4 linked regions of the Lytechinus pictus genome follow. The protein of the gene in region 4 binds, or shares a complex with, the protein of the main gene of each other region. Links are inferred from orthologs where the notes say so. Each region holds a gene or a part of one and is shown on either strand. Other genes may lie near its edges.

Evidence for each region.
Region 1: WASH complex subunit 4-like (region 4) and WASH complex subunit 5-like share a complex: the UniProt entries of both Drosophila melanogaster proteins name them as parts of the WASH complex. The link is inferred for Lytechinus pictus from reciprocal best matches to the Drosophila melanogaster genes SWIP and Strump.
Region 2: WASH complex subunit 4-like (region 4) and WASH complex subunit 1-like share a complex: the UniProt entries of both Drosophila melanogaster proteins name them as parts of the WASH complex. The link is inferred for Lytechinus pictus from reciprocal best matches to the Drosophila melanogaster genes SWIP and wash.
Region 3: WASH complex subunit 4-like (region 4) and WASH complex subunit 3-like share a complex: the UniProt entries of both Drosophila melanogaster proteins name them as parts of the WASH complex. The link is inferred for Lytechinus pictus from reciprocal best matches to the Drosophila melanogaster genes SWIP and CCDC53.

The regions. Positions count from the first base shown.
Region 1 is NC_087261.1:28,106,257-28,113,580, reverse strand, and holds the start of WASH complex subunit 5-like, read left to right. Parts: upstream 1-4,304; 5' UTR 4,305-4,446; exon of another isoform or gene 4,447-4,884; intron 4,885-7,324. UniProt on the Drosophila melanogaster protein: Acts at least in part as component of the WASH complex which may regulate wash nucleation-promoting factor (NPF) activity and is required for its membrane targeting during endosomal sorting.
Region 2 is NC_087247.1:74,320,080-74,328,100, forward strand, and holds the start of WASH complex subunit 1-like, read right to left. Parts: upstream 3,020-8,021; 5' UTR 2,866-3,019; intron 1-2,865. UniProt on the Drosophila melanogaster protein: Acts as a nucleation-promoting factor by activating the Arp2/3 complex to induce actin polymerization. Participates in both linear- and branched-actin networks.
Region 3 is NC_087263.1:2,398,227-2,406,116, reverse strand, and holds the start of WASH complex subunit 3-like, read right to left. Parts: upstream 3,002-7,890; 5' UTR 2,884-3,001; coding exon 2,833-2,883; intron 332-2,832; coding exon 233-331; intron 1-232. UniProt on the Drosophila melanogaster protein: Acts at least in part as component of the WASH complex which may regulate wash nucleation-promoting factor (NPF) activity and is required for its membrane targeting during endosomal sorting.
Region 4 is NC_087247.1:32,109,900-32,117,638, forward strand, and holds the start of WASH complex subunit 4-like, read right to left. Parts: upstream 3,017-7,739; 5' UTR 2,709-3,016; coding exon 2,651-2,708; intron 1-2,650. UniProt on the Drosophila melanogaster protein: Acts at least in part as component of the WASH complex which may regulate wash nucleation-promoting factor (NPF) activity and is required for its membrane targeting during endosomal sorting.

The sequences.
Region 1 (7,324 bases), on a different chromosome or scaffold from region 4:
CACATAAAAAAAAGTGGTCTTCATTTGCCTTTTTTCACGTGATTATGAATTAAGATCATTCAACATGCATTTTAGGCACCTGAAACCTAGTGGGGAAAAGAAATTATTGTATATTATATTACAGTATTACAGAAATATTTTTCATAACTTTATGAAATATTATTTGCTTATAGGACATACTGTATGTGTTCATCATTCAGTGGTGCTCGATCGCATTGTCTGTTTAAAGATATATATAATCCTGCCATACTTGGTGTGTTAGTTTGTTCAGCTTTGGGGTCTGATAGGGGGGGGGGGCTCATGGGACGGGAGAATGCTCATATACATTCATTCTTTAAATTTGCGTAGTTGTTACGTCTTTGTTTTATTATTTGCTTTATAGCTGCATACATAAGTTGTTGAAATGTTATTTTTGCATGAGTTCGGATTATGTCTCTTTTCTACAATTTGCCTGCTTTGTTTATTACACTGTTATTTAATTTGTGTATTGCACTGCTGCAATTATCATTTTGTTCTATATTTTCTTGATTATGTATGTATGAAATTTATTTGAATGAATAATAAAGATCACTACAAAACAAAAAATACTAAAACATCCCGTTTTCAAGTCCATATACATCAAATCTATTTCCTCGCACTTCGAGTTATTATTGTTTTATAAAGTGACATATGCTTTTTTCATGACTATTTTATGTGATTGAATATAAATCATTTCCAGTCCGTATTTACGTTCGCATTAGTGAGATATGTCTGCTCTTCATGGATTCCTATAAACAGTCCTTGAAATGTCCCCCTTTCTGGTCTAATAATAAAATCTCTTTAGTCTCTCTCACCCATGGCTGTAGGGAGCGGAAAATTCGTTTTACCCCCCCCCCCCCCCCACGTACCACCCACCCCAGGAAAAAAATCTGCGTTCGGCTTCATGCACCCCCTCCCTCCCATAAGTTATTCTACAGAGAATATACAGTGCGTATCAAAAAAAGTTTACACTTAGAAAAAATCCTGTAAAATTATACATTTGTAATATCCTGAAGATTTTTCCACATTTTAACATTGGTACAGATCCATTTAGGCAAATGACGATATAACTGTCGAAAATATTTCCGCTTGAGTGAGCACCACTTACTTTTGAAAACTTAGTGAAAAATGTTTTGCGCAGAACTTTGAAATAGTTATGGGAATAAAAGTAGACCTTAATTATGAAGAACACATTGAATTTAGCTAGTAAAATTGGTTTGAAGATACCTTTTACCTTTTTAACTTGTTTCCTTGTCCAACACACTTCGAAGAGTGCATTGCACCCATGGGCGGAAATCCCGGGGGGGACAGGGGGGACGTGTCCCCCCTACTCAAAATAGTAGGGGGGACACAATATCAAATGTCCCCCCTACTTTTTTTGGTCTTTTATGATGGTAAGAAATACATCATTCTAAATCGAAATAAAACATGTATTTTTTGGGACGAGTTGGGACGAGATGACCTTACTTTTGGGATGATAACCTTTTTTTTTGCTTGTCAAATTTCCCGCCTCTTGTCCCCGTAGGCGGACCAGGGGGCCGAGGGGCCCGCCCCCCCCCCCCCCCCCCCCCCCCCCTCTTGGCGGAGCAAAAAAAGAAAAAAGGGAAAGAAAGAAGGAATAAAGGAGGGAAAAGAGAGGAGAAAAGAAGAGAAGGACGACGAGTGCATAAAATAAGATGAGGGGAAGACTTGAAAAATAAAAATAATCTTTCGTGCCACTATAGAAAATTTTTCGCTCGCGCTTCGCGCTCGCATTACCTGTTAGGTGATTTAATATCTTGTTCAATATGGAGCTCGAATGTCAAGTTTGGAAGTCAATATACAAAACATATTTCACCTCGGAAATCGAACTTTCATTATTTTGTGTGATTTACAAATTGATTTTTAAAAAGTGCTCTGTAAAAATGTCAGTTTTATGGTCTGAATATTAACATTTGCTGCTTGCGCTGCGCGCTCGCAAATTTTGATTTATCAGGTACCTATTATTTTCGTGTATTTCATAAAGTTTTCAAAATATCCCTTTTCAGGTCTGATTGTTAAGACGTATCAGCTAGCGTGCTGCACGCTCGCATTTTGATTGGCGAGTTATATATGTTTCAATATTGATTATACAACAAACTACTTATAATCCCCTATTCATGACACAGTTTATCAAAAAATTTACCTCGCAATTTGCGCTCGCATTAATGGTTAAAAATACATTAACTGATGCATCCTATTCATAATTACAGAAGTGAAATGTCCACTTTCTATGCCATAATATCATCAGATTTCGCGCCCTCATATAACGGGCATTAATAAATATGATATTAATTTAATAATCAAATTGTCCCTTTTGTTTCATCTCGCTTAGCAAGAGGAATAGGAAGATAGTCATCATTTTCATATGATGACATGTTGTAAGGATGTCCCGGTCCTATGTCAAAACTCAGAGTAATAATAATGAAAATATCAGCTCCGGTTTTTAAGTGCGATCCATATCCACCTTACAATTTTTCTACAAAGTGCTTGAAATATAAAGCTGAACTTGACTCTTTTTTTCAGATCGGAATATCAAAGTTTCATGATTTTCATGATTGAAGATGTATTTAGAATGCCTAGATTCTAGGTCTAAATATGAAACACGCGCGCGCATGTTTATTCAGATACTCAACTTGTTCTCTATTTAAATCATTATCCAGTTTCAGATCACAATATCACTATTTTTCTGCTCGCGCTTTGTGCTCACATTATTAATGTAGGAAGACCCCATATTACTCATCCTTTTCATGATTTACAAAACATGAACAGAGTGGCCCATTTTTAGGTCTAAATCTTGATTTTTTTTCTGCTCGCTCTTCGCGCTCGCATCAATTATTAAATTATATAGCTATCCTGTTCACGATTACAAAAACTGATTAAAAGTTTCCTTTCTTTCTTTAGAAAGTTCAAAATTTTTCAGCTCGCGCTTCGTGCTCGCATCTTTTAATTGTTGAAAATATGTAACGCCTTCATGGCTAAGTGCAAGCAGTCCTTAACAGCTACCTTTTCAACAGGTACCAGTTCAAAACGTATATAAAAATTTTCTGCTCGCGCTTTGCGCTCGCATTATTAATACTCATCCTTTTCATGATTTACAAAACGTGAATAGAGTGTCTCGTTCAGTAAATATTATAGGACTAAATCTCGAAATTTTCCGTTCGCGCTTCGCGCTCGCATCAATTGTTTACTTATATACCTATTCTGCTTGAGTTACAAAAAGCGCTTAGAATTTCCATTCTTTGGGTGAAAATGTCCCAAAAAAATTAGCTCGCGCTTCGCGCTCGCATCATATAAATAAGGATTATGATATTATATATTAATTAATAAGAATAAAGCTAAGAAGTGACTAATGAGGACTATCCCTTCAAAGAAACAAACAAAAATCATCTTCGAGCTGCCGATCGGGGAAAATATGGCTGAAACAAATTTCCGCCCCCCCCCCCCCCCTATTGGCGAAGGCTGGATCCGCCCCTGTGTCCCCCCTACCTTTTGGGAGAGATTTCCGCCCCTGATTGCACCCCACCCTACTCCCCCACACACTGAGGCCATCGTGGCGATATTTGCTCTACACTGAGCTGTGATTTACATGAAATGGCTTAATTTTTAGGCTTGATTTTCATTTTGTTAATCATTGTCAAGCTTCGAAAGGGTGTGGAAAAACAAGTATTAAATGAAATTTGAAATGTAAACCCACTTTAAATGATAAAAACTTAGTGAAAAAATGCTGGAGATGTCTGATATAAACTTTTGTTCAGATTTAGTTATGTCCTAGCTCAGATCCAGCTGGCACAAAAAGGGTAAAAGTTGTGCTTACTAAGTGTTGAAATTTCAATTTGGGTGGCAAAATTGTTACAAAATGCTTGAATGTATCTGTTGTATTTCAATTGACTAAAAGTGCAAGGGAAATGTATGAGAAATGTTTCGCAGGGTAAATTTGATTTCGCCCTTTCCCCTTGACACAGCGTGAAACTGACGGGCATTTCTGTGCAAACAGCTAGATCTCTGCGAGCTTTACAAAAATGGACAGTGCTCACTCAAGTGCAACATTCTGTCAAACTTTTACTTTCATTGGATAGAAGAGACCCAAAGGTTATATGTGAAAAATTACCCACGTGTTGTATATTTTTTTAATTCCCAGGGCTTTTTCAGAGTGTTAATTTTTTTTTGATACGCACTGTAGAATCGCTTTCGTAATGCCCGTGATTCCTTTCTTCCTACAGTTGTGAATCCCACGGTCAAAACATATCTCCTTCCCGGATCTCCTTTCACTCTTATGATTCGGAAAGAGGGGTTTATATATTCATGAGCCGATTGTCGGTCAGGGTTGCCTTTTTCTTTCATTTGAAACATACAACCAGTTGGTGCCCCTGATGAAAACTGAGTGAAAATTAGTTCCTTCCGGCCTGAGTGAGTCCTATCTTTTGAAGTGCCTACTCGGCCTATTCTAATCTATGAAGGGATCACAGGAAATCACTTTTAAAAACTGCTAGTTTCTGTTCTCTTTTGTCTTTGCAATGCAAGTTGAATTCTGATTTTTTTAATTGTAGAGTAACACTCTCTGTGAATAATTTATGAAAACTTTGTGGAACTTTTAGAGAATCTAGAAAGGTAAAAGTAGAGCATTTTGGATCAACGACGCTAGCGCTCGGTATATATAGCCGTGCGCCGCGACCGCGAAGAGGTCGTGAATTCGGATCTTTTCGTTTCGGAATTTTGTTCGATAATTTACATTCACATGATTCAATATGGCCGCTCCCTGGAGGGTCTGAGATAGTTTCTTGCTAATTACTAGATCTTCCCATTTCCAGTTCTATTTTTGATACAGTGAGCTCATTTATTGAATGTGTGAGTATGCATTTTTGCTTTTCATACAATCATTTATTTTTCATCCTGTCTCATTAAAGATATTTTTATGAAGTTGTGTGGGGGCGGAACCTGGAAGTCGTTAAGCTCGGTCCCATACGTCGACTCTCATGTTATGTTTGGTTAGCTTTTAAAGAGGCTGTTCTTACTACGTTCCTAAAACTAGTTTACTATGGCTCACAGCTCCTGTGTCTCACTCAATCCTCACTCAACAAACTTGACTCTGCCCAACACTCCCTTTTCAAGAAACTCTTGGGTCTACCTAACCCAGAGAGCTCCGGCCCGCGTAGCGGGCCGGAGCCCAGACGCTCAGTGTGCAAACGGGCATTCAGGTGAGAGTACCGTGAAGTTTGGTCAAAATAATTTTGATAATACATAATTAAAACAGAAATTAAGCACTTACCACGATTGTATGGATGATAGTCTAACGAGTGGCAGTTTCCTGACATCGAGGCACAGACTGGAACCTCAAAAAACGATCAGTTCTGTCGCGGTAGCTCTCCTCTTTCAGAATTCAACACAAAATGGCCGATCGAGACCGAGGCTAGTATAGCACTAGCGCATATAGACTTTGTCAAATTCGCGCATGCGCCCTACACCCTCTCGAACGGCCATTTTGCTATGAATTTTGAAAGAAGGAGAGCCACCGCGACAGAACTGATCGTTTTTTGAGGTTCCAGTCTGTGCCTCGATGTCAGGAAACTGCCACTCGTTAGACTATCATCCATACAATCGTGGTAAGTGCTTAATTTCTGTTTTAATTATTTATTATCAAAATTATTTTGACCAAACTTCACGGTACTCTCACCTGAATGCCCGTTTGCACACTGAGCGTCTGGGCTCCGGCCCGCTACGCGGGCCGGAGCTCTCTGGGTTAGGGTCTACCGAGATCCACTCACACGTATTGCGAGGTTAGTATTAGTATACTAACCTCGCACCACGAACCGCGTTTGGCAGTGGATTTCTAACTAGTGGGTCGCGCGTGCTGGGATCTCACTTCTTGGGTCCACAACACACGACTTCTATGGCTTGAATTTTCTGTGCGCGGCGGCATGTAATGAACCCTTGGGTGACCGAGATCTGCCCCCAATATCTCTATCTTCCTGTTAACTGACCTACTTCACCTCTCCCGCGAGATTTGAACTGAACACTTTCCTTCTGATAGGACAGCTCTTCAACATCGACCATAGTAGATTTGAATTTCGCTCATTCCTCCATGCCCTCTCCATCAAGACTCCTACTATCATCTACTGGAATAAACTGCTCTCTAAGTACAACCTTCCCTCACTCACCTCTCTCCTATCTGAAGATTTCTCATACAACCGCTGGAAAACTCTGTGCAGGAGTAAAGTGTATGATGCCCAAATGGAAGAAGCCAGAGTGTGCATTGAGAAATTCTCATCCCTCAGCCTATGGAGTAACCTCTCAATGCTCCCCAAGATATCGTCACTTTACCCCTCTTCACTACCGACCCATCTTCGATCAGCTGTGATCTTACGCGCTCAGCTACTTACGTCCACCTATCCCACACAACGACGCCTAGTTACCATCAGGAAGAGCACAGACCCAACCTGCAATCTCTGCTCTCTAGAGGAAGAAACCACTACCCACTTTCTTGCCTCATGTCCAGTCCTTTTGACGCAGCGTCTGGACCTACTACAGCATGTTGAGAACCTTGAATTGCCTGCACACATCCTAAATGATTTCACTGGAAATGACCCCCTCATCCTTGCATCCTCCATCCTTTTTCCCTCACACTCTCTGCCCTCCTCTTCTGCTTCCTCTCTGACATGTCACTGCCTAAGATACATCTTAAAAATCCACCTATGTCGACAGCACCAACAAGAAAGGACCTGAACTTTGCGGCTTGCCGCCGATCTCCGAAGACCGGAGGAAGGAAATATACAAGAACAAGAACTGGAAACTAGTTTAGTGGAAACTAGTTTAACGCGTAGTGAGAACGGTCGAAGCGATCTTGCAAACCAGTTTGGAAAACCACCTCGCGATGTAGTTTTCAAGATCGCTTTGCCTCGTTAAACTGGTTTTACTTTTAGCGTAAGTGTAGCCAGGCGGCTTCTAGAGAGTAAAAATCATTTACTAACGTAAGGTCACTCTCATGAAGCCAGGCCTTCTATCCCATAGACCCACACAATGGAAGCCAAAACCTGAAACTTTCACCCCCGAGATTTCTACTTTCCTTCTAAAAGATCTAGCTCTAAATCACTCTAAGCACCAAGGCTATTAATTCCTGTGTTAAAAAAGTGAGTGCACGCGAATTAAATGTTGGACTTAAATTACTAGATCTTACCATGGAGCTCCATGACGAAATCTGTTCTTAAATTAGACTCTAGATATTACTAAATTGAAAAAATGTATAAATAGTACTCGCCTGGTCTTTTCTTGGGGTATTGAAGCCTTTTTG
Region 2 (8,021 bases), about 42 Mb from region 4:
TTATCTGCAGAATTTCACAATCATTTTGTTTAAAGATCCAGACCGGACCCGAAAATGAAATTGATAAATTATATACCAATCGAAAGCTTATAAGCTACTAAATACACCAAGGTATGCTTTATGCATTTTCACCGCTTCCCAGCTGAGTATTTTGCTTAAGAATATTCCAATTATCGGGTTTCGAACCCCGAACCCCGCTTAGAAAATAGGCTTTATTGTGCTTTTCACCTGCCTCGAGACCGTGACGTCACGTTGTAAGCGTCGTGATTCCATAGGTTTGTACACAGAAAAACTGGATGATTTTTTTGCTTTCCAGATAACGCATTTCATTCTCTTCACTTCTATCACAGAGGGATATCACATATATTTTTACCCACAAGCTTGAATTTATGAAATCTGCAGTTTAGAACTAGTTTTTGCCATATTTTATTTCCTGCTTATTTGGCGCAGATTTCAATTCTATCTGCATTTAGATTATGTATAACAACTTTTCCTGACATAGCAATTTAGGCCCAATAAGAGCCAAACAAAGAAATCACAAAAAAGGTAGTGAATAGTTGTAGGTTTACAACAATTTGAACAGTGAATAATTTTGAGTGCCATTTTCATCTGAAAACAAAAAAAAAAATGGATTCATAACATGGAAATGGAAGAAAATACCCAATGCTTTTGTACACAAACCTATGGAATCACAACCCTCCTGACACAACGTGACGTCATCATTTCCAGGCGACGTGGGGGTGCTCAATCGAAGCGTACTTTGGAGGAGCAGTTTCTTTGATTTTTATTTAATATTTTTAACTATTGGAAGGAGATATATGTAATATTTTTGGTATATTCGTATTGTATGAATCATTACCTTTATTTTGATATATGATTGTTTTTACACCGGTCAGGGTCTTTAAAGAAATGGACATACAGTGTAGGATATAGAGCAGATTGTCACAAGTCAGAGTAATTCATCCCACAGGCAGCTTTTCATTACAAATCATGTATCATAGACAGTTATTTTCAAGAAAACATCCTCAATGTGCGTTACGTAGCTTGGCGAAAGACAAAAAAGAACAGGATGGCGATGCAAACATCGCGGCAAGTCTTCCTGTCTTTTCAAGATTTTTTTTTTTGCATTCTGTTTTAAAATTGAATCAATATCATAGAAATGTCGGAAATGAAACTGTATCCCATTTACATGATCTAGGGCAAGATCTTTTAGAAGGAAGTAGAAATCTCAGGGGCGAAAGTTTCAGTTTTTCGCGGTACATGCACATGAACAAGACACAATCCCTGGCTCCTTGGAGAGTAAGCACACGTTAGTGAAAGATTTTTACTCTCTAGGAGCCTCCTAGCTAGTTGCACTGCGCAGTGAGCAAGTGGAGCTCTGGCAATATATGTTGTCAATAAGTTTTCATTCTACAGTAAAATCCACACATAACTGACAGAAACAATAGTTGCGGTAGACAGCTGGTACTGTGGCAGCTGTCTGTTTCGGGGAGTTTTTTTACATTTTTTATTTTTTTTAATTTCTCCTCGTACAAAGGCAGCTCGCGATCGTGCAACCGCCATTAGGGGTTAACAATGCAAAATCCCCACGACGGGGCTCATCGATTTTGTCTTTATTTCATAAAAATATGTAACAAGAACTAAAATAATATTAGATCTATTCAGTTTTGGCCTGAAATGCACCGAAACGGGAAAAAATAAACTATAAAAGGAAAAAACATTGACTTACAGTCTTACTTTCCTGGTTTACCCAAACTTAATTACATAAACATATGGCCATTGAGTCCCTGTACAGATCGAGTAAGAAATTTGGTCTAACTTTAATACGTAGCCTAAAATTGGTGAATGGAGCCAAAGCCAATCAGCGGAACATGCAATAATCAGAGACGTAGACCGAAGATTTTGGTCTATAGCTGCAGTAGACCAAAAGCTTCGGTCTCTGTTATGTTGGTTGTTCAGCTGAACTCCGACGGGGGGATTTTGCATTGTAAGTCCCCTAATGGTGTCAGCACGATAGCTAGACAGCTGGCAGCCGTCTGTTTCGAGGAGTTTTTAAACATTTTTTTTTTTTTTTAATTTCTCCTTTAGGGGACTTACAATGCAAAATCCCCCCGTTGGGGCTCTTCAATTTTTGTCTGTAATGAATCAAACTTTTGAAAATTAACGCAACTGAAATGCAAATTAATATTCCCTCTCGGCATTAATTGCCAAAAAACGGGGAAAATCAAGTTAAAAGGAACAAAAACAGTGACTTACCTCGGCTGTCGCGCAACTTCACTGCCCTGTAGCTGTTTTATCCGAACTTAATACACATAAACATATGGCCATTGAGTCCCCTGTACAGATCGCGCTAGAAATTCGGTCTCTGTATTTGGTGAGTGAAGCCAACAGAGTTCAGCTGAACAACCAACATAACAGAGACCGAAGCTTTTGGTCTACACGATAGCGAGCCGTCTGTGTACGAGGGAAAATTTAAAAAATAAAAAAATGTTAAAAATCTCCTCGAAACAGACGGCTGCCAGCTGTCTATAGCTGCATCAGCTTTCCCCCAGTCCAAATCTGTACATGTATCTAGTTTGTTTAGGCATAACCTTACTGTCTAAACAATAAATGTGCAAGTCCCTGGCCTTGTCTTTGTAAACTCTTTCAAGGCCAAGGGGGCGTAGATTGGGCGGTACAGTGTACGAACTTTGCCCCGATCCCAAGCCAAGGGAGTCCAACCCGTGTGGCTGGCTTAGTTACGTTACATTGCCGATACTAGTAAGTGTAGAGCATTTAACTTTCATACTACGTTTCACAGCTAATAAATCCATCTGAAATGAGCAATGACTGTTAGCACTTTTCGTTATAAAAATTACTACTTACAATTCACAGAATCGATGAAATATATTATTATTTGGATCCTGCGCAAACGATGTCGGGTACGGTAACTTATGTTGGTCACATGCACAGGCTACAACTAGCTACGTACCGGTACAAGTCTAGCATGTTGACTCACCATCACTTCCGGGGTATATGTACTACTGCATATGGCATGCACTGCACTGCCAAAGTTGACTGAGCTCTGGGTCTGAGCTAGCCGTGTAGGGGGGGGGGGGGGGGGCGCTAGGCCCCACACTCTTGGCTGAAAATTATTATATCTAATAAAAATAAAGTAAAATTCACCGAGAAAATGTTAAACATCGAAAAAATCATCCAAATCTGATAACAAATAACAAAAATGAACTCAGTTGGGCCCTGATATATGCACACCGTACCGTCATGCAGCGCAGCGGCCGGGGGGGGGGGGGGGGGTATGATGTCATGTTTCCACACTTAACTTTCATAAATGTATGTTCTGTACCCCATCTGCGAAAAAAATATGTGGAAACATGCCTGTAACGAGGAACTCAATAATTCATTGCTTGAAATAGACAAAGTTTTAACTGATAAATGTGTTAATTTTATGGTGCATATGCAATGGGACTCGTGTTTAAAAATTGACCCAAAAATATTTAAATATATTGGTATTCTGTATGCCTATAGTTCAATTTCAAGTTCGTCTCTATTTATCCATTTTGTTCACAACTTCAAGTCAATATTATACATATATTACATTTATATAAGCTACTCGTTTACATAAATCAAGCCTCCATTTGACAAAAGACAACAATACTTAAAAAAGGGTATACTACTACTAGTATACAAATAACCAGTATTTAGAATTTCATTCCAATGGACAATGATGTAGTCCCGATGTAGTATTACTTTAACACCTTATTTGAAAGAGCTACTGTATAGAATTAACTAGTATTTCAGTACCGAAAGTTTAGAATTTCATTCTAATGAAAAAATGCGTGAAGTCCTAACATATTGATTCTAAAATACTGTACTGCCTCAAAAGAGGTTTAAAGTTCGTGTGTGTAATCAAATATTTTATTACAAAGAATTGAAAATTACAATAAGTGCATGAAGTATCGAGATATTAATTTAAAAAAAATGTATAGAAATTACTAGTAATCAGTATCTCAGTACGAAAAAGAAATCTAAAATTTCATTCCGATAATAAATGCATGAAGTATTAATATTTATTCATTATAGCTACTGTTTTGATTTCAAATAGGGCTAAATCGAATGTGTGTAATCAATATTTCATTCAGACAAACAATTTTGAATTTCAAAATTTCGTTCCAATACATGTAATAAAAGCATGAAGTATTAACATAGGTTAAAAGACTCTCTTCCAATACCCGTTTTAGAGATTCGTTCCACTTATGGCCAGTGAAAACTAATAATGTCATGAAATTCTTACGACATAATTTCCCTGGGATTTGGAATTCCATCCCTAAATGAATGCAAGTCTGTTAAGTCATTTAAAAAATTAAACAGTTTCTATATCTCAAAATGTATAGGGCCTAGTTATTTTTTCTCTTGTAAATTGACACTTTCTATGTTTTTTTCTGTTTCTTTGTGTTTATTTGTTGTTGTTGTTGTTATTGTTTATGTATCATGTTTAATTCTACATCTTATCGTTTCTGTATACCATGTCATGTTATCAATGTTCTGGGAACTGCGCTTATAAGGCCTATTGGCTTTATTTATGCAGTTCCCCATTTCATTGTATACTCTAGCTTGCTTGTAAATAGTTTTTCATATCTTATTTTATATTTGTTTTTTAATCGAGAATGAAAAAAAAATGCAAATTGAATTGAATAGAATAAAATTAGACTATTGTTTTCTTGTTTCGGGGCACTCGTTAACACGTAAAATGGGCCCTTCTATGGTGAAAGGGGCACAGAACACGTTCGAGAGGGGGCGCATTTTTGCAACAAAATAAATGGCACCTAAAAGGGCAATTGGTAACACATAAAACGGGTCCTCCTCAGATGAAGGGGCACAGAACACGTTCGTGAGGGGCACTTTGAAGTTGGGTAAAAAGGGGCACTGATTCGAGAAAGGGCACTTTCTAACACATAAATCGGGTTCTTCTCAGGTGAAAGGGGTACATTAGAGGTTCGAGAAGGGGCGCATTTTTGCAACAACAACAAAATGGCACCTATGCGAGAAAGAGCACTTGGTGACACCTAAAACGGGTCCTCCTCAGATGAAAGGGGAACATTTACACATTCGTGAGGGGGCATTTTTCTTGCGTAAAAAGGACACCTTTTCAGTGCTTCAAAAAAAGGGGGCACTGTGCCCCCCCCCTGTCTCTTATACGATTTTATTGATGATACCATTGCAACGAAAAGTATAGTATTAAATCTCAACAAGTTCATTATAAGAAATGGTCCCCACTTTAATATATAATGATTTTAATGATAATTGTCTTAATTCTCACTATATTTCTTTGTATGTAATGTGTTTTATACTGTAATTGTTTGATCATGTTGCTACAATGTACAACAATAATCAGTAAAAAAAAATCAAAAGATGAAAACCAACAAAATAAACAGCAGCAATGTTTATTTGAAACATCAAATCAATTGACAATAAATTCTACTCACCAAAAACTCGAAGTCCTTACAATATACCGTATATTATTAAGGAGATCATATACTGAAAAAAATAAGTTATATGTTGTTTTTTAATACTTGTAGAACATTAACGGATGTTGCTAGGGAGACTATTCCACATTATGGGACCAGTTAAACTTATCTTTCTTCCTCCTCTTGTCTTTCCTCGTTTTGGTCCTCTCCTTCCTCCTCCTTTTTTCTTTCTCTTTTCCCCTTCGTTCTTTTTTGTGCCTCCAATATAGGGCGTGGCCACTTAGGCCACTGGATTTATATGCCAGGGGCACAGCCCCTACCCACACACACATACACAACTTTTAATCACCCAATTTCGTCTCAATAGCGTAAATTTTGGGGGCACAATTTTATTAATAATAACTTCTCATCAAGCGCTCTTTCAAAAAGTTACAAAGCGCTATACAAAAACTTAAAATATAACAACACAAAATGAAATACTACTTGCAATATATCAAAACAAATAAGATCTGAGCATCTTCTGAAACACATCAATATAAGGACGTTGTTTAAGTTTATGAGGTAATGTCTGCATTCCAATATTTTGGGGGCAAACACAGAAAATTACATATCACCTTTTGACCTATCTCTCCATAAAAGTAGGGGGACCAGGGGCTGGACAATTTGACAAGCAAAAAAAGAAAAAAAAAGAAAAGGTAATCACCCAAAAAGCAACGTCATCTCATCCAAAATACATGTTTTATTTCGATTTTTAATGATGTATTTCTTTCCACCAAAAATAGAAGGGGGACATGTAAAATGGTTACACTTCGTAATTCCGAAGGTTCTTTATTCCGAAGGTTCGTAATTCCGAAACACGTAAATTGGCTATACCTCGATGTTCGTTAATCCGAAAACGTAAAAGGGTTCGTTAATCCGAACATTTGTGGCGTTATTCCGAAGGTTCGTTATTCCGAAGGTTCGATAATCCGAAAACGAAATAAGGTTCGATGTTTCGAAGGTTCGTTAATCCGAAAACGAAATAAGGTTCGTTGTTCCGAAGGTTCGTTCATCCGCAAACGAAATAAAGTTCGTTGTTCCGAAGGTTCGTTAGTCCGAAAACGAAATAAGGAATTACGAACCTCATCATTCTTTTTCGGATTAACGAACCTTCGGAATTACGAACCTCACTTCGTTTTCGGACTAACAAACCTTCGGAATTACGAACCTCATTTCGTTTTCGGACTAATGAACCTTCGGAATTACGAACCTTCAGAAATACGAACCTTCGGAATAACGAACCTTCGGAATATCCGAACCTTCGGAATAACGAAGCTTCGGAATTACGAATGTATTCGATTTGAAATCGTGTCCCCCTACCATTTTGGTTAGGGGGACGCGTTCCCCTGTCCCCCCTGAGATTTCCACCCATGCCTATTGACTGATTGATTTGAATGTCCGTGAGATGTGAAGAGAGATATATGTGATGATTATCGAGTGTTGTACATTAATTGGCGAACTCTTAGGAGGTGTGACAGGTATGGTGCAGGAGTTTCCTCAATCATGTCAGAGACTTGTGCTGAATTCGATTTTTTACTTTCAGCTAGTGTAATCGGGGGGGGGTGTATTATGATGATTGACAGTAAATGACCCTTGTTGCTTTATTCTGTAATTTCTACAGACGATCTAGGTTATTAGAGGTGACACCATAATTATATGACTGAAGTGGTTTAGGCCTATAAGATAATATGACAAATAAAATAATGATTGAAATAACAATTTCCCTTTTGATCAATGTGCCCTATAAGGATGAGTATCTGTAGGCTCATAGGCTTTGTCTATAAAAAAAAAAAAAAGAGGAAAACTCAGAGGGGTATGGAGTATACTCCATCTGGAGGTCAGTCTTTTTGTCGGCGAGAACTAACTTATAAATCTGTTGACAAAGTAAACACATTATACATAAAGCTTGTCCGGGCTTTTAATTGCAGAACCTAAATTATTAGAATATCATTCAATTCAATTTATTAATCATATTATCATAATATAGGCATAAACACTTCATTCATATATGTTTTTTTTTTCTTCAACTGAAGGGCCCTGTCACCATGTAAGTCCATGCTGTAACCACTAGCGTATCTACGGGGGGGGGGGGGGGGGGGCCTGACGAGCTTGAATACCTCTATTGATAACCTTTTTTTTTTTTTTTTTTTGCTTGTCAAATTTTTTGGCGGACGGTTTTGCCCCCCCCCCGTGGAAAATCCTAGGTACGCCACTGGCTGTTACCAACACGATACACATATGGCCTATCTGTTAACATATTATTTTGCGTTCTTATTGTCAATTTATTTCATAAATTAAAATGGAAGGGTACTTTGTCGATATATTTATACGTAAGATATAATATTTTAGGACAGGGGTATATAGATCGATGTTGTGATAGACCTACTTTTAATGAGATTTCAGGGTTGTGCAAACGAATGTTTTCTTTCATGTTTATCTCCATTTACACAGATGTGAATTAGCACGCATGGTCATGGTGGTGTTCAATTTTTTTTCTAGTAAATAGGATGTTTGCAG
Region 3 (7,890 bases), on a different chromosome or scaffold from region 4:
ATCTACATGTACCATCATGACCATTGGGTACAAAAATTTGCAATTTCCTGTCGCTAGTAAATACATAACTTCTTTTGACCATAAAATGGCACTTTTGAAGAGCACTTTCCAACTTTCCAGGCCAGCGATAGTTTTACATGATATTGATAAGTACAAACATCAACATAGGAGTCCATGATGAAGGTAAATTTAATGTAACTAAATCTTGGTGACTAGCCAATTTACTCCTTACCGTTTCACAAACACAGGAGAACTTGTTGAGAAACCTGGTTGTGTGTATGATGAAGTGGTTTAAAAAGGCGAGCATTCGCTTGGAGTGTATAGCACCAACCTGAAATTAAAAAAAAAACAGAAGAAAATTTCAAGAATAACAACTTTGTGCTTTTAGTTTTGAATTACAAAAATGTAGATCTAGACAATACAATCAACTAAGAGGATGAAGGGGTGTTTGTGATTCCAGGAAAAAATTAGCAATTTTCACCAACTTGCCCCCCTGCCTCCTTGAACTTACTGAAGCATGAAGATTGAAGGAAGCTGACATGAAGACCTGTAGCTGACAAGAACATAGACCTGGAAGCTCGACTGCTGATTCAGCATTCTTCCAGCCAGTATTTGCGGTAAGGTATGCCTAGGTAAGACTAAGTCACTAATAGACCAAAAGCTTCAGTCTATGTTAATTATGTTGGTTGTTCCGCTGAACTACGTTGGCTCCACTCACCAAATACAGAGACCGAAGTTCTAGAGCGATCTGTACAGGGGAGTAGGGGACTCAATGGCCATATGTTTATGTACTTAAGCTCGGATAAAACGGGGAAGTGAAGTTGCGCGACAGCTGAAGTAAGTCACTGTTTTTCCCCTTTTAAGTTTATTTTTCCCCGTTTTGGTGCATTTCAGGCCAAAACGGAATAATAATCTCTATTTTGGTTCAATTCTTTTTCAATATTTTTGGGTCATTCTTCAATAAGTGTATATTTTTGTGTCACATGGCTTTGGAGTCCCATGAAAAAATATAAAAAAGTTTTCTTATTTTTTACCGCTTTGTGTTGACTAACACGTATGTAAAAAATAATGAAAAATTAAAACAGGTCAAAAAGAAATATCATATATAATTTATTTTTAATTTTTTTTATGGCCACCCCCCTCAAAATTGCATGTCACAATAACATAATGTAAACATAAACATGTGTTGCATTTTTAAAATTATGCATCTTTTTGTAATAATATGCCTTGATAAATTAATTTTTATGAGTTGACAACGAATACCACTCAAATATACACGCGCAAGCAACGATTTTAAGATTTTTTTGTTTTTAAGGCCTATTATTTTGTGTCACACGATTTTGCGTCATCTCCGTCACGCATTTTCAGTGCGCCATCTACAGTACAACAAAGTGCACGGTTTTCAAGATTGTGGTTGCAAAATGGCCGGTGGATAGTACGGAGAAAGAATCGACACGTTTTTTCCCTGATCTCCGGGGTTTTGACATTGTTCGGGCGGCATCTTCGTCAAAAACCAGGTGCGTACCTTTATTCAGCGTCATCTCCGAACGCTTGGTATTAGCTAGATAAAGGTGTTACATTTATTTTCTAATCGTTTCTATGAAAGATTAACGTGCCCACAGAACAGCCAATGCCGCACTCGCGTTAGTTGGTATTGCAGACATTGATTATCGGTGCATATGTGTCTGATAGTCATCTCCGTCACGCATCATCTCCGTCACGGCTCTTTCGTGACGGAGATGATGAGTTTGATTTGAATTATGAACTTAGTTAATTGACACATTGCATGGGCTCATGATAAACTTACGGCTATATTTACAACATGAAAAGTGACCCTTGGCCTTGGTCTGGAGGACTTCAGATCTAAATTGGTACACCGTACAGTACTACAGATATCATTAACTTTACCTTGTCCCACATACCCATATCTGTGTAAGTGCTGGTGATGTCTATTGTGACGGAGATGACGCATTAACAGTGTACATGTTTAAAAAGACCCCAAAATTATAACTTAGTCCCCATAAAGATCGCGCCAAACAGTATTTCCATAATCTACAGATGTACAAATATATTAAACAGACAAAAAGAAAGTTTAGAAATAGTTTTGAATTTCATCATCCCACAATGGTCGAAAATATACACTTATTGAAGAATGACCCTTTTATGAAATAAAGACAAAAATCGATGTGCCCCGTCGGGGGGATTTTGCATTGTTCACCCCCTAATGGTGGCTGCACGATAGCGAGCCGTCTGTGTACGAGGAGAAGTTTAAAAAATAAAAAGATGTTGAAAAACTCCTCGAAACAGACGGCTGCCAGCTGTCTAAGACTAAGTCACTAAAGCACTAAGTGACATGTCATGAACAGAATGGAATTACATCCCAAAGTCAAAGAAACTAAAGCCTGAGAACCAATGGCAATGTATGGCAAGCACAGCTGCAGCATGTAGGCCTACACTCTTCTTTCACTTACATCATTGCAACAAAACAAAACACAGTCAGACAGACAGAGACTAGTCAGACTTTTTCATCAGCTGACTAGCAGTTCATTTGAACATGTTGAAAATTGTCTCACACACACTTTGCTCATTATTTGCTCTCTTATCCAAAAGGTTAATCGATGCAAAAAAAAAGGTACATTCAAGACTAGCTATTTGTAACAAAGCGCCAAAACAAACTGCACTGGGTGACTAGCTAGCTAGCGACGCGACGATTGTACAAAATGACACTGACATGCACACATGTTAATAGGCATGTGGGACCGAAGAAAATTAATTAGTGACGCCCCTAACTTTCTGCTGATAAAAATCGTTTTCACAATAAAATCCTCTTACCTTCGTCAAATCTACTCCTGGTCCTACAAGGGGTAATCCGTCAGCGTCCATCCTGGTTCGAAAATAGATTATTTGTTAACCATTAATGGCGAGTATTGATAGAAAGTCTATTTTTTACTCAGCCTTAGTTTTTCACTTTCCGGTTTATTATTACAGCTAGTTGGCGAGAAGTGGACGCGAGAGGGCTGCAATACTTGCCGAGCGCGAGCGAGCAAATTGTTTTTTTTTCTGAGGGTTGAATCATGGACCTACAAGCAAAGTAGGTCCATGGGGGTCCATGGTTGAATTGAGGGAATTGATCCCATGTTATCTAATCCTTGTTTTGTTCGTATCAACAGGAATATAGTGTGTGTGTGTGTGTATTTGAGTTTTGTCAGACGTGTATCAATCAGATATGATTATTTACGTCTGGGACCGACCTTTAACGTCACCATCCGAAAGACGTGACCAGGGCTCGAACCTCTGCATCAATTTGTAACTTCCCCACAGCTTGGATTACAGGCGCACGCCACAACGCCCAGTATAGCATCCACTTCGTAGACTTTCTAAAGTTAAGAGCATCGTCTTAAACCTAAAAGAGCCGGGTTATTTGGACCCATCTCACAGCCGGGGGGAGGGGGTGCACAGTAGTACTGTGCGATAAGATCTACAGGCTGTATGGTTAATTTTTTGAAATAATAATATTTTCCATTTATTGAATCCTGCAGCTATTTAACACAGATTGAATTAATTATGCTATTTTATGCATGAAACAAACGATTTGCTCTAATCAACTATGTACGGCGCCAAAACTGCTAATACAGTGCGTTCATAGTTTTATTCACAGACTCTTTGTAGGATCCCAATCAAAATTATGTACTTTAAAAAAATGGTACCGCATTTCTTTTCTTATGTATTTTTTTTCCTTATGTATTTCCTTGTTTTTTTCGATGGAAATTGATGCAGACTTAATTCTAATCATAAACAAGACAAAATTCATTAAGTTTAATCAGTTTAAAAAAAATGGTATCCCAATTTTTTCTCATGTATTTTATTTTTTTAATTTCTTATGTATTTCCTTGTTTTTCGATGTTTTTTCTAGGGAAATTGATGCAGACTTAATTCTGATCATTAACAAGACAAAATTAATTAAGTTTAAACAGTGGTAGTGTGCGATAAGATCTACAAGGCTGTATGATTTTTTTTCAAATAATAATATATTTCATTTATTGAATTAATTTTTGCATGAAATAAATCATTTGCTCTAATCGACTATCATACGGCCTCAAAACTCCGATTTTTTTTATTCACAGACTCTTTGTAGGTTCCCGATCAAAATAAAATGTATTTAAAAAAAAATGGTATCGCATTTTTTTCTAATGTATTCTATTTTTTTTATTGTTTTTTCCGATGGAAATTGATGCAGACATAATTCTGATCATAAACAAGACAAAATTAATTAAGTTTAATCAGTAAGAGTAGAAATGATGATACATTTATGAATTTTGGCTAAATACACAATTTGCATTGGATTTGTACATGAATTCACGTTTTTGAGCAGTTTTGGGTCTGACATGCACTTACATAATGTTGCGTAGTATTTCGTAACCGCGTACCTGGGCATCGCAAATTTGGTCTCAAAAGTTGTGCGAGATTTGAAAGTAAAGAGTCAGCGAGCTCGGCGGATTTATCGTGAAAAATGATGGGGCGGCGGAATCCGCCCCCGGGCCTTTCTGGGTTAAGATTCGGACCGGATGAACAATTGCAAATATGTTGTTATATGAAATAATAAGAAAGTTGAAAAAAATTTAAAAAAATTACATTTATACTGTAAATTCTCACAAAGTTCACCAAAATTGAAATGTATTGGAATTATGTATAAGTTAAGAAGTTGCCTTCCTAAATCTGGTACTCTCTATTTACAATAATTCGTTAACATTATCACACATTCTTTACTGTATTGATGTCTGGGGTAATTGCAGTAAATCCAAATTAGATAAACTTTTTAAATTACAAAAAAAAACAATTTATATATGCACCAACAGACATTATCTTTCAGCTTCATCTCATTTATTTCGTAAACTTAATACTTTGAATATTGTCCATCTTTATCAATATCAAGTTGCAATATTAGGGTTTTCTACTTTAAAAAATACTGACAAATAAGATTAGTAAAAAATTTTGTATCAATAATGCTGTACATTGACACAGAATTATATGTAATTATACGTAATTTGTTTTATTTTTGGAAAGTAGGAAAGTCCTACATGTCCTATGTACAAAAAGGTTTATGCTTTAACTCCCCAATAATCTGGAATTTCTATACCGAAATTTGTTCCCACAGGGCACAGGCAAGTCTCTTTCCCTCTTTAAATGAAAATTGAAACAATACTTTTATTCAAAATATTCCTAATTTTGCAGCTATGTTACAATTCTATACACGATTTGTAAAACATTTGTGCTTATCCTGTACGTCCGTTTTCTTAAAGGGATGATCCGGGCTGAAAATTTTTATATCTAAAAAAATAGAGTGAAATTCACAGAGCAAAATGCTGAAAATTTCATCAAAATCGGATAACAAATAACAAAGTTATTGAATGTTAAAATTTGTCAATATTTTGTGAAAATAGTTATATGCACATCATCATGAATATTCATTAGGTGGGCTGATGAAGTCACATCCTCACTTTCCTTTTTCTTATGTTATTATATGAAATCATAAATTTTTCATTTTTTCATACATTGTGTAAATGATGTGTCTCCATTATGATGAAATAAGTTGCGGCAATAAATAATTAATGCACTTAATCAGTTGTCAATCCAATTGTTTTAGTTCTTGGTAGAAAAATTTTGAATAAACATAATTTCATATAATAAGATACAAAAGAACAAGTGGGGATATGACATCATCAGCCCACCTAATAAAATATTTATAAAGACATGCCTAGAACTGTTTCACTGGAATAATGCAATCTTTAAAATTCAATAACTTTGTTATTTGTTATCCGATCTTGATCAAATTGAACGAAATGAAACGAAATTAAATGAAATTTTCAGCATTTTGCTTTGTGAATTTTCCTCTATTTATTGAGATATAAATATTTTCAGCCTGGACCATCCCTTTAATCCATTTACCTTTGTAACCGAAGTTCTCATATTTACTTTGATCATGTTGATACTGAGTAGCCTCCATATTATCATTTATTATTTTAGGAGACTTTACCTCATGCACAAGGCCACTATATATATTGGCTTTATTTAATCACCCTTTTCATTACTGCACACAGGCCTAATAATATTATTGTATTTATTTTAATTTGTTTTTTTTTTGCATGTTTACATTTCAAATTATTGATGTATATATTTGAAGTGTATCTTTTATGTTTATATAATTCTGTACTCATTAATGAATAAATGAACTGAACTGAACAATTTTAAACTTGTATATTTTCACTCCAACGTCAGCGATTCTTCATTACTAACATGACTAATAGCATTCGTTAAAGGACAAGTCCATCCCAACAAAAAGTTTATTTGAATAGAAAGAGAAAAATCCAACAAGTAAAACAGTGAAAACTTTATCAAAATCCGACGTACAATAATAAAGTTATGATATTTTTAAGTCTCGCTTAATTTCACACAACAGTTATATGTACATCCTAATCGGTTTGCAAATGAGGGGACTGATGACGTCATCCACTCACTATTTCTTTTGTGCTTCATGAAATATTGCAATTTTCTCATCATTTTCAAGTGAAAAAACGAATAATTCCTCCCTGAACATGTGGAATTAGCATTGTTTAATACTACATGATTCAGTCAAGTTGTTCCTTATCGTCATATCTGTAAAAATGAAATATCGTATAATAAAAAAAATGAAGAAATAGTGAGTGAAGGACATCATCGATTGTCTTATATGCGTGTCACTGTGCTTATCACTGTTTTGTGAAAGTAAGCGAAACGTTTAAGTGTCATAACTTTTTTTTTATTTTACATCAGATTTGGATGAAATTTTCAGCGTAATGCTAATTTGATTTTTCTCTATTTATTCAATGCAACATTTTTCTGGGGTTCGACTTGACCTTTAATATACTCGCTTTGTTCCTTGGGATTGACATTCATACGGTAGGCACTTATGATCCAAGTTTGAAAGGAGACTCGTAAAATTACGTCAGTCTCGCCGATGAATATTCATTAGATCGTGGTCGTGCGTGTTCAATACACACTGCGTGCAGGCATGCAGATAGTTATATGCGAGGAACTTTGGCTCCAGGGACAAGTTGTCAAATAACGTGTGTGTGTGTGCGTGTGTGTACCATCGGCTGGTAGTATGCCATGCTGTCTAAGACTTCAAACGCGTCGGAGAGAGTGCATGGCAATTCGGTAAAACGAAGTTTCCGATATAAAGAGATAATAAAATAACACTATGTACAGTACGCCCGGGGGGCCACTTACATTGACGAGTGGATACCATATGCGCGACCAAAAAAACACGTAAAAGGGATGTCTTTTTCAAGAGAGGGCAGGTTACGTACGTAACGTGATAAGGGTGTCAAAAACACAAAAATATTGAAAAAAGGGTATCTATTTCCAGTACGTTGAGAGGCAAATGTCAGATCAGGGGAGGCAGGAGTACAATCAGGTTTTTTTAAAGGGAAGAATAGTGTAGAATAAAAGGTATTATATATAGCCAAATGATCTAGGTGAGGGAAGTGAACAATATGTTTTTTTTTTTTAAGAATGAATATACCTTACCTGAATATTATGGTGAAGCCAATTTAAAAGGAGGTGAGGCAAGTTTTAATGGAGGTTTTTAAAAAGAATAAACTGTACTACAAATTATGGTGAAGCCAATTTAAAAGGATGTGAGGCAAGTTTCAATGGAGGATTTTAAAAAGAATAAACTGTATATGGTGAAGCCAATTTAAAAGGAGGTGAGGCAAGTTTCAATGGAGGTTTTTAAAAAGAATAAACTGTACGTATTATGGTGAAGCCAGTTTAAAAGGAGGTGAGGCAAGTTTCAATGGAGGTTTTTAAAAAGAATAAACTGTATTATGGTGAAGCCAATTTAAAAGGAGG
Region 4 (7,739 bases):
ATCACATTGGACATTCATACTTAGAATATACCCCTGGCTGTCTTGTCTCACCTGCATAATTTCATTTTAGCAGCAATTTTGACTCTGTGAAAATTTCATATAAAACATTTTCTCTCTTTAGTATATCATTTGAATTTAATCTAAAGCCAAGGCCACTGAGGGCTAAGGTTTAGGGCACCAAGTTGACTAGCCTCAATGCCCATCTTATTTCCCTTGGAAGTTTAAGAGCTCCTTTTAATATCTATATATCTGCTTAAATAAAGAAACATGCTATATAATATATAGTACATAGCAAAGTAACTTAGCCCTAGAAATATTACAATTGATTAAATATACTTTCATGTGAAAACATGTATGGCAAGTTCCCCCAAGTCTGCGCAGTCCCCCTTGTCTGCGCACACGCGTATTTGCGCGATTCTAGTAAGAAGATACGCAACGAACACAGACTTTACACATGCAATACATAGACAGGTATTCATAAAAAAATCTGACTCAAAATGGTGGAAAAATAATGAAATTTGGGCATTTCATGTGACGGCCTCAAAATGCAGCCTTTCTCATCAAAATCCCCGAATCGTGTGCAAAGTGAATGAGTGCGCAGACATGGGGTACCATTTTTTTTTTCAATCTGAAAATGACTGCCCGAGGTTTTTTCAAGAAAATCCTATATTTTCTTTCATTTTTCAATGAGAAATTTGGTACATTTACTCATGATAATATAAGGAACCTTATTAACTGAAAGATTTTGTGAAATAAGAAGAAATTCATGTGAAATCTTAACTCAAATTGTTAGGTGCGCAGACTTGGGGCCCACCATCATACAGTACTTGACTTGACAGATCTATTTTCTTTATAAATTACAAGGTTCAAGGATAAGGCAATGTACTAAATAATTTTTTTTAAATTAGGACAAAATATAAATTTTCCTCCATTTTTTTTTTTTTTTTTTTTGGGGGGGGGCATGAAATGACCTTTGACCTTGATCCACTGACCTGACATTTGACTCACATGATGGCTCACATGATACTCCTTTATAAAACCTTCATGGAATATTACACAAATATAGTGATTTTGTAAACCTGACCGTTACCCTTGACTTGGCAACACATTATTTGTTTGATATCATCCTTGATATCCCATAAATATCTCATAAAAGTTTGATTTAATTTGATTAATTACTATTAAAATGATCAACAAAATGTAAATTTTAACAAAGTGTATTGACCTGAAATTATCTTTGACCTTTTCCAATTTATCTGAAACTATAACTATCAATACCTGATAGTGATAACCATAACATTTTTAATTTATTACAGAATAAGGACTTACAGTATGACTGCATAACTATCTTGAAAACTACAGATAGAGTACTGTACATTATGTATGTATGGCAGTGAGTCCAAACTTCGCGCGTGTCCATACTTCGCGGACGGTCATTATCTCAAAAACTAGCCAATATCCTTAAAATCTGACATCATCATCGTTAAAAGCGACCTAAAATTACCCTTCAGTGAAAATTTCTTTAGGATGAGTTCAGTATTCATGAAAATATTGGCAAAAGATCGGCAAATTTGCCACCGCTAGCGCCCGTTTTGAAGAAATCAACAAGCATCACGATATCACCATTTTGCAAGCAGAAATCATCAAAAATGTGAGATAAACCGATTCCATAGCATTTTGCCATCAATCTGATATAAAATTTCACTTTTTGAGCTTGAGTTTTTGTTTGAATCTCCACAAAAGCTTTGGTGCGCGAAGTTAGGTCACACTTTTTCTGAACGGTTTTCCAGCACAGCCCGCATTCGCCGATCGGAATAGAATTTTGAGATCGCGATACCGGCGAAACCCCTTGACCTACTTTACATTTTTCGTCCATGATTTTATAGTTTACGATCTTGCCGTCAATGTGGTAACTATTTCTTGACTTGGTTTTGTATAAATTATGAATATTTTGTGAACAAAATTAAGCCTGATGAATATTTTTGAAAAGTGCGCGAAGTTTGGACACCCCATCATACCAGTTAAAGTAAGCCCCTGGGCTCCAGCCCGCTGCGCGGGCCGGAGCTCCCTGGGTTACATGATAGCGAGCCGTCTGTGTACGAAGAGAAATGAAAAAATAAAAAATGTTAAAAAACTCCTCGAAACAGACGGCTGCCAGCTGTCTAGCACCAAGTGAAGTCAGTCTGTCTCTCTCAGTCTCACTCTCACTCTCAGCTCTCGGTGTCTGGCCGGGAACCACCCACTTTTTTATTCCGTTTTGATGTTAAAAACCAGCCGGCTGCCCGCCCCAGACATTGTCTTATTTACAAAAAAGATGCCAGAAGAATGATTATCATTGGATAAAATAAAATAAAAACAAGTCTAATGATTTCGTTGTTGTAACAGTCCCATTTTCTAGCTGTGCACATCACAGCTCATCACCCTCCCTCGGCCTCGGCCTCACAGACACAGTCACAGTCAAAGCAGTGATGTGAATGTACAGTGCTAGTGCAATCTACACACACAGACCTCAATTGTGTCATGTGATCCCAAACAACATCCGCCTCCGAGCTCCAACCCGATCCACCCGCTCGAACAAACTCACTTACAAAGTTGTTTTCGACATTCATACTTTGTCAAATATAAAATTAAATAAATACTGAATACTTACTCAAAGAGCCGTCATCAAATTTATCAAATTCCCAGCCAGATTTAGCTTCTCCCGTCATTTTAAGTTCACTTTGGAAGTCAGTTGCAGACGGAATTGGAGTCGTAGCGGTCCTCAAATTTTTTGCCCAGAGAAAAATCAGCTACGGAAACTCGGCCCCATTCGCTAAATCGGTTGAGGGGGGCGTAAATGTTAAGGCTCAGGGCCCGTATTCCATAAACAAGATAAGCTTTTTGCTTAAGTCTTAGCAATTTGTCTTAGCATTTTGCTTGTCTAAGAAATCTTCCCTAAGGATATTCTATAAACTTTAAGACACTTGTCTCAAGTCAGACGATATGGCTAAGCCAAAGTCTCAAAGTCAAATTCTATGACCTTCTAAACTGCTGCAGGGGTGACTGCAACAAAATAGCAAAAATGTCATTGAAGTTGTTTTTTCTTAACAAGTTTGATTTTATTGAAACTAATTACAACTATTGTAGTAAAAGAAGAGCATTCATCACCCATATGTGGTAAGAATTCTTTATTCAGTGTATTCTATATTTTGTTAATTACCAAAACATTTCAATCCCAAACCGAGTGACTTGCACAGTTTTTTATGTATCAGTCCCATTCATTACTTTTCATGTATTGTTTGTCAAAATCTAAATGGGATTGGGTAGATTCCTCTCGACATCTTTATTCTACTTCAGTTGAAGTAGACCTAGGGTCTAAGGGAAAACATTTGTAACTTTTGAGACTAGTCTTGGGTCTAACATTAGGCCTAGATCTAGCCTAGGCCCAAGATCTACAACTAATATCCGTCTGTTTGGAGGAGAATTGAACATTGTTTTTACTTTTTACTTTCCTGAAGGCTGAAGCAAAACGTAACTTTGACTTGTTAGTCTAGTGCCGTAGTGGAGCAACTGAGACTGAAGCTACATACTAGGCCTAGATCTAACGATAGACCTATATTAGTATTGGTCTAGGCCTAGAACATGCAGGACTTAGCCTGGCTTAGCCTTAAGACAGGGATAGATCTATCTAGATCTACATGTAGGTCTAGAATAGATCTGACTTAGGCCTAGACCAAAAGCTTCAGTCTCCGACTGTATTTTGGTTGTTCCGCTATTTTAGTATTACGAGTACGACACTAAACAGTCTAACGTTACGTTGGCCTAGTCTCACCAATGTGATATGACAGTAAATGTCAGAAACTTTTAAATAAATCCCCAGAAACGACGGTTATTCCTGTCAACAGTGCTAGATATATCGCTATTATGCATTGCTTGCCAACTATGCCTAAAGTTAGATCTAGTCCTAGTAGTAGTCTAGACATCTATCTAGATCTACTCCTGCTTTAGGTCCATCTGTTTGTTTGGAGTTTTTATTTTATACATTTTGAGGACTTGTTTAGATCTAGGTTTCCAGGACTAGAAAACAGGCCTAAACCTAGACCAACACTGGCAACAGCTCAGTCTAGACTAGGGCCTAGATTTATATAAGAATTTAGATCTAGGGTAGGGCCTAGGCGGCCTAGCCTGTGCTTTCTTCTATTCATTCTAGATTTTATTTCTAGCCTATCCGGTAGCCCTAACGTTAGGACTGGCTGATCTAGTCTACTGTTTGATCTAGAAATCTCTAACCTAGGCCTAGATCTAGACTAAATGACTTACTCACTTAGACTAAAAGTTAGACCCTATCTAGATCTAGACTATACCAATCTAGGTGTACATAGGGTCATAGTAATAGGTGTAGATCTAGAGACTTGTAGACTCTATCTCAATGTAGATTCTAGATCTAAAAATAGTAAATGTAGGCTAGATCTAGTCTAGTCCTACTCATCTAACGTTAGGCCTGAGAAAGGAAGTAGGCTAGGGATCTAGCATTGGGTTATTTCTAGGACTAAAGAATCTTGATCTAGGCTTAGATCTAAACTAGGGGCTGTAGTTCGAAATCTTGAGGTCTAGCCCCCCCCCCCAAAAAAAAAAAAAAAAAAAAAAAACTAGAACTAAGCCCTCAGCTACATGTAGTTCTCTATGTAGCCAAACAAAAGTTAGCATTGACCATTGTCTTAATCTTTTTTGGCGTATACATGTAGTTATCATACAAACACATATTTTGATGAATGAGAAAATGTGTCTTGCAGATTATTTTAGCTCAAAACCTACATTTTATGGACATATAGGCCAATGTCATAAAATGAAGAAGTAGTTCAATACACATCATGCTGTTTACACATTTATTGATCTGATATGCTGTTACCATGGCAACAAATTTTCAAATATATGTCTTGCAGATCTACACCTCAAAATCAATGTGTGAGCCAACTTTTATAAGAATTGGTAAAACTAATAAAGGGATTCAAACCACAAGATTTTCACCTAATTTCTTTATATAACATGTTGTTACCATAGCAACACGAATTCTGATACAGGCAAAAGTATATCTTAGACATCTTCAACTCAAGACTATTGTGTGCGCCAACATTTTAGGAGAATTGACCAGTTGAAAACTGATAAAGTAATTCAAATTACAAGATTTTCATCTAGTTTTTGTTATTTTATTTGTTGCCATGGCAACGCAATTTTTGTATATAGGCATAAAATATGTTTTGCACATCTTCACATCAAGACTAATGTTTGTGCCACATTTCATGAGAATTGGTTAAAAACTGAGGAAGTAGTTGGAATAGCAAGATTTATACATAATTTTTGCCATAATATACTGTTACCATGGCAACACAATTTCCGACACATGCAAAATTGTGTCTTGCACATCTTTTCCTCAAATCCAATGTGTGAGCCAACTTTCATGAGAATTGGTAGAAAACCGATGAAGTAATTTAAATTTTAAATTTTGGCCATAATATACTGTTACCATGGCAACACAATTTCTGAAAAAGCAAAAAAAAAAATTCTTACACCTCCTTACCTTAAGACCAATATGTGTTCCAAATTTCATGAAAATTGGTTAAAAACTGAGGAAGTAGCTCGAAATGCAATATAGGTATAAATTCTAAAAAAAAAATTGGCCATGATTTGTTGGATTTAAACGTTGTCTTAAAGCAATTAAGACAACTCACAACTGTCTTAAAGTTAGGGCAAAATTCTTAGCCATGTAGAATTTATGAAATACAGACTCTGCATATTTAAGAAAAGTTACTTAGCCATTCATCCTAAATCTGTCTTAGTCGCGCAAAAATTCTTAGCCAAATTCTTAGACAAAATTCTTAGCCAATTCTTTATGGAATACGCGTTTTGGCTAAGAATTTTGTCTTAGACAGAAAACTAAGACAAAATGCTTAGATTTTTGACTTAAGCATGCTTATCTCGTTTATGGAATACGGGCCCAGGGATTCAGGAATTTTCAAAGGGGACCCAAAATTTATTGTGAAATTTGGGGGTTGATATTGTGAGGGAGCAAATTGATCGAGGGGAGAGTGTGTAGGAATTTGTCCCCTCCCCCTCTGGCTATAGCGCTTACATGTCTTTTTCACTTTCTTCACCAGCTAGTGCAGCAAGCCCATATCACTTGCCATGAGTTTTATTTAAAGGACAACCAACCAACAAAAAGTTGATTTGAATAAAAAGAGAAAAATCCAACAAGCATGACACTGCAAATTTCATCAAAATCGGATGTAAAATAAGTTATGACATTTTTAAAGTTTCGCTTAATTTCACAAAATAGTTCTATGCACATCCCTGTCGGTAGGCCCTATACAAAATGAGGGAACTGACGACATCACTCACTCACTATTTCTTTTGTATTTTATTATAAGAAATATGAAATATTCTAATTTTCTTTCCATTGTCCTGTGAAACAAAGTTTTATTTCTCCCTGAACATTTGTATTTACCATTGTTTAACATTTTATGGGTCAGTCAAGTTTGTCCTTACTTGTCAAATCTGTAAAAAAATTAAATAATGTATAATTCAAACAATAAAAAACGAAAGAAATAGTGAGTGAGGGACATCATCGATTCTCTCATTTGTATGTGACTAAATTGTGCATCTAACTATTTTGTGAAAAATAAGCAAAACTTTAATATGTGATAACTTTGATTTTACATCCGCTTTTGATGAAATTTTCAGCAGTTTAATATGCTTTTCTGAGATTGCTCTATTGATTAAAATCAAAATTTTTTTGAGGTGGACTTGACCTTTGCAATGGTATATATAGACATAGAAATATAAATATATATATATATATATATATATATATATATATATATATATATATATATATATATATATATATATATAGGCCGGCTGTGCCCCCCCCCCCCCTGGATCCGCCAGTGTGTCAGAAGAACAAATTAATGAATAATTCATCAATATTACTACTATTTGTACATGACTTCTTTTTTATAATATTTTATTTTCTTCCTTCAAATCAATAAGTTTACAATCACAATTTATATAAATCAAGATTTTGTACATGTATACGAAACAAATAAATATATCAATGATATTACAAATATTTTTAGAATTATTAGAAATGAAGTTAACTGCCCAATTTCTCTTCCATGGGAAAAAACAACATATCAATTGACAAATAAAAAAAAATACTCCGCCATCTAGTGTCTTTAACAGGAGATTATAGAAGCGATTGCGCAAACGAAACCAGTGAAGAACGTCGCCGTCGGCGACTGAGCTGAAGTTGTGAGCTTAAAATCATCAAGAAACCCTTTTCTTCCCATTTCCGTGTTTGTTCTGCGTGTGAGTAGTCATTTCAAACGTATTTATAAGTTATTCTCTCACTTTCAGGTCTTGAAACTTTCTGTTATGCGTTTTATTTATAAGTTACTTGCTCAAGTAATAGGTCAAGCCATGTCATGAATGAATGAATGACTGTTACGTCATACCGTTATCCGTATGCGTACGTGCAGTTTCGTACATGCAGCGCAGGGAATTGTTCCTGGTACTGAGATTACTGATTACTGATTACTGGTACTGATGTGTGTGTGTTTTCAAGTCTTGCTTACAACAAGTTACAAACGATGGCCATGACCGGTCCATTTGACTTAAACACAGTAACATTATTCATTAATTTGTGGCAAGTCTATGATTAAGTTCCGACACAAATCTATAGTATAGATAAGCCTTTTTATGCC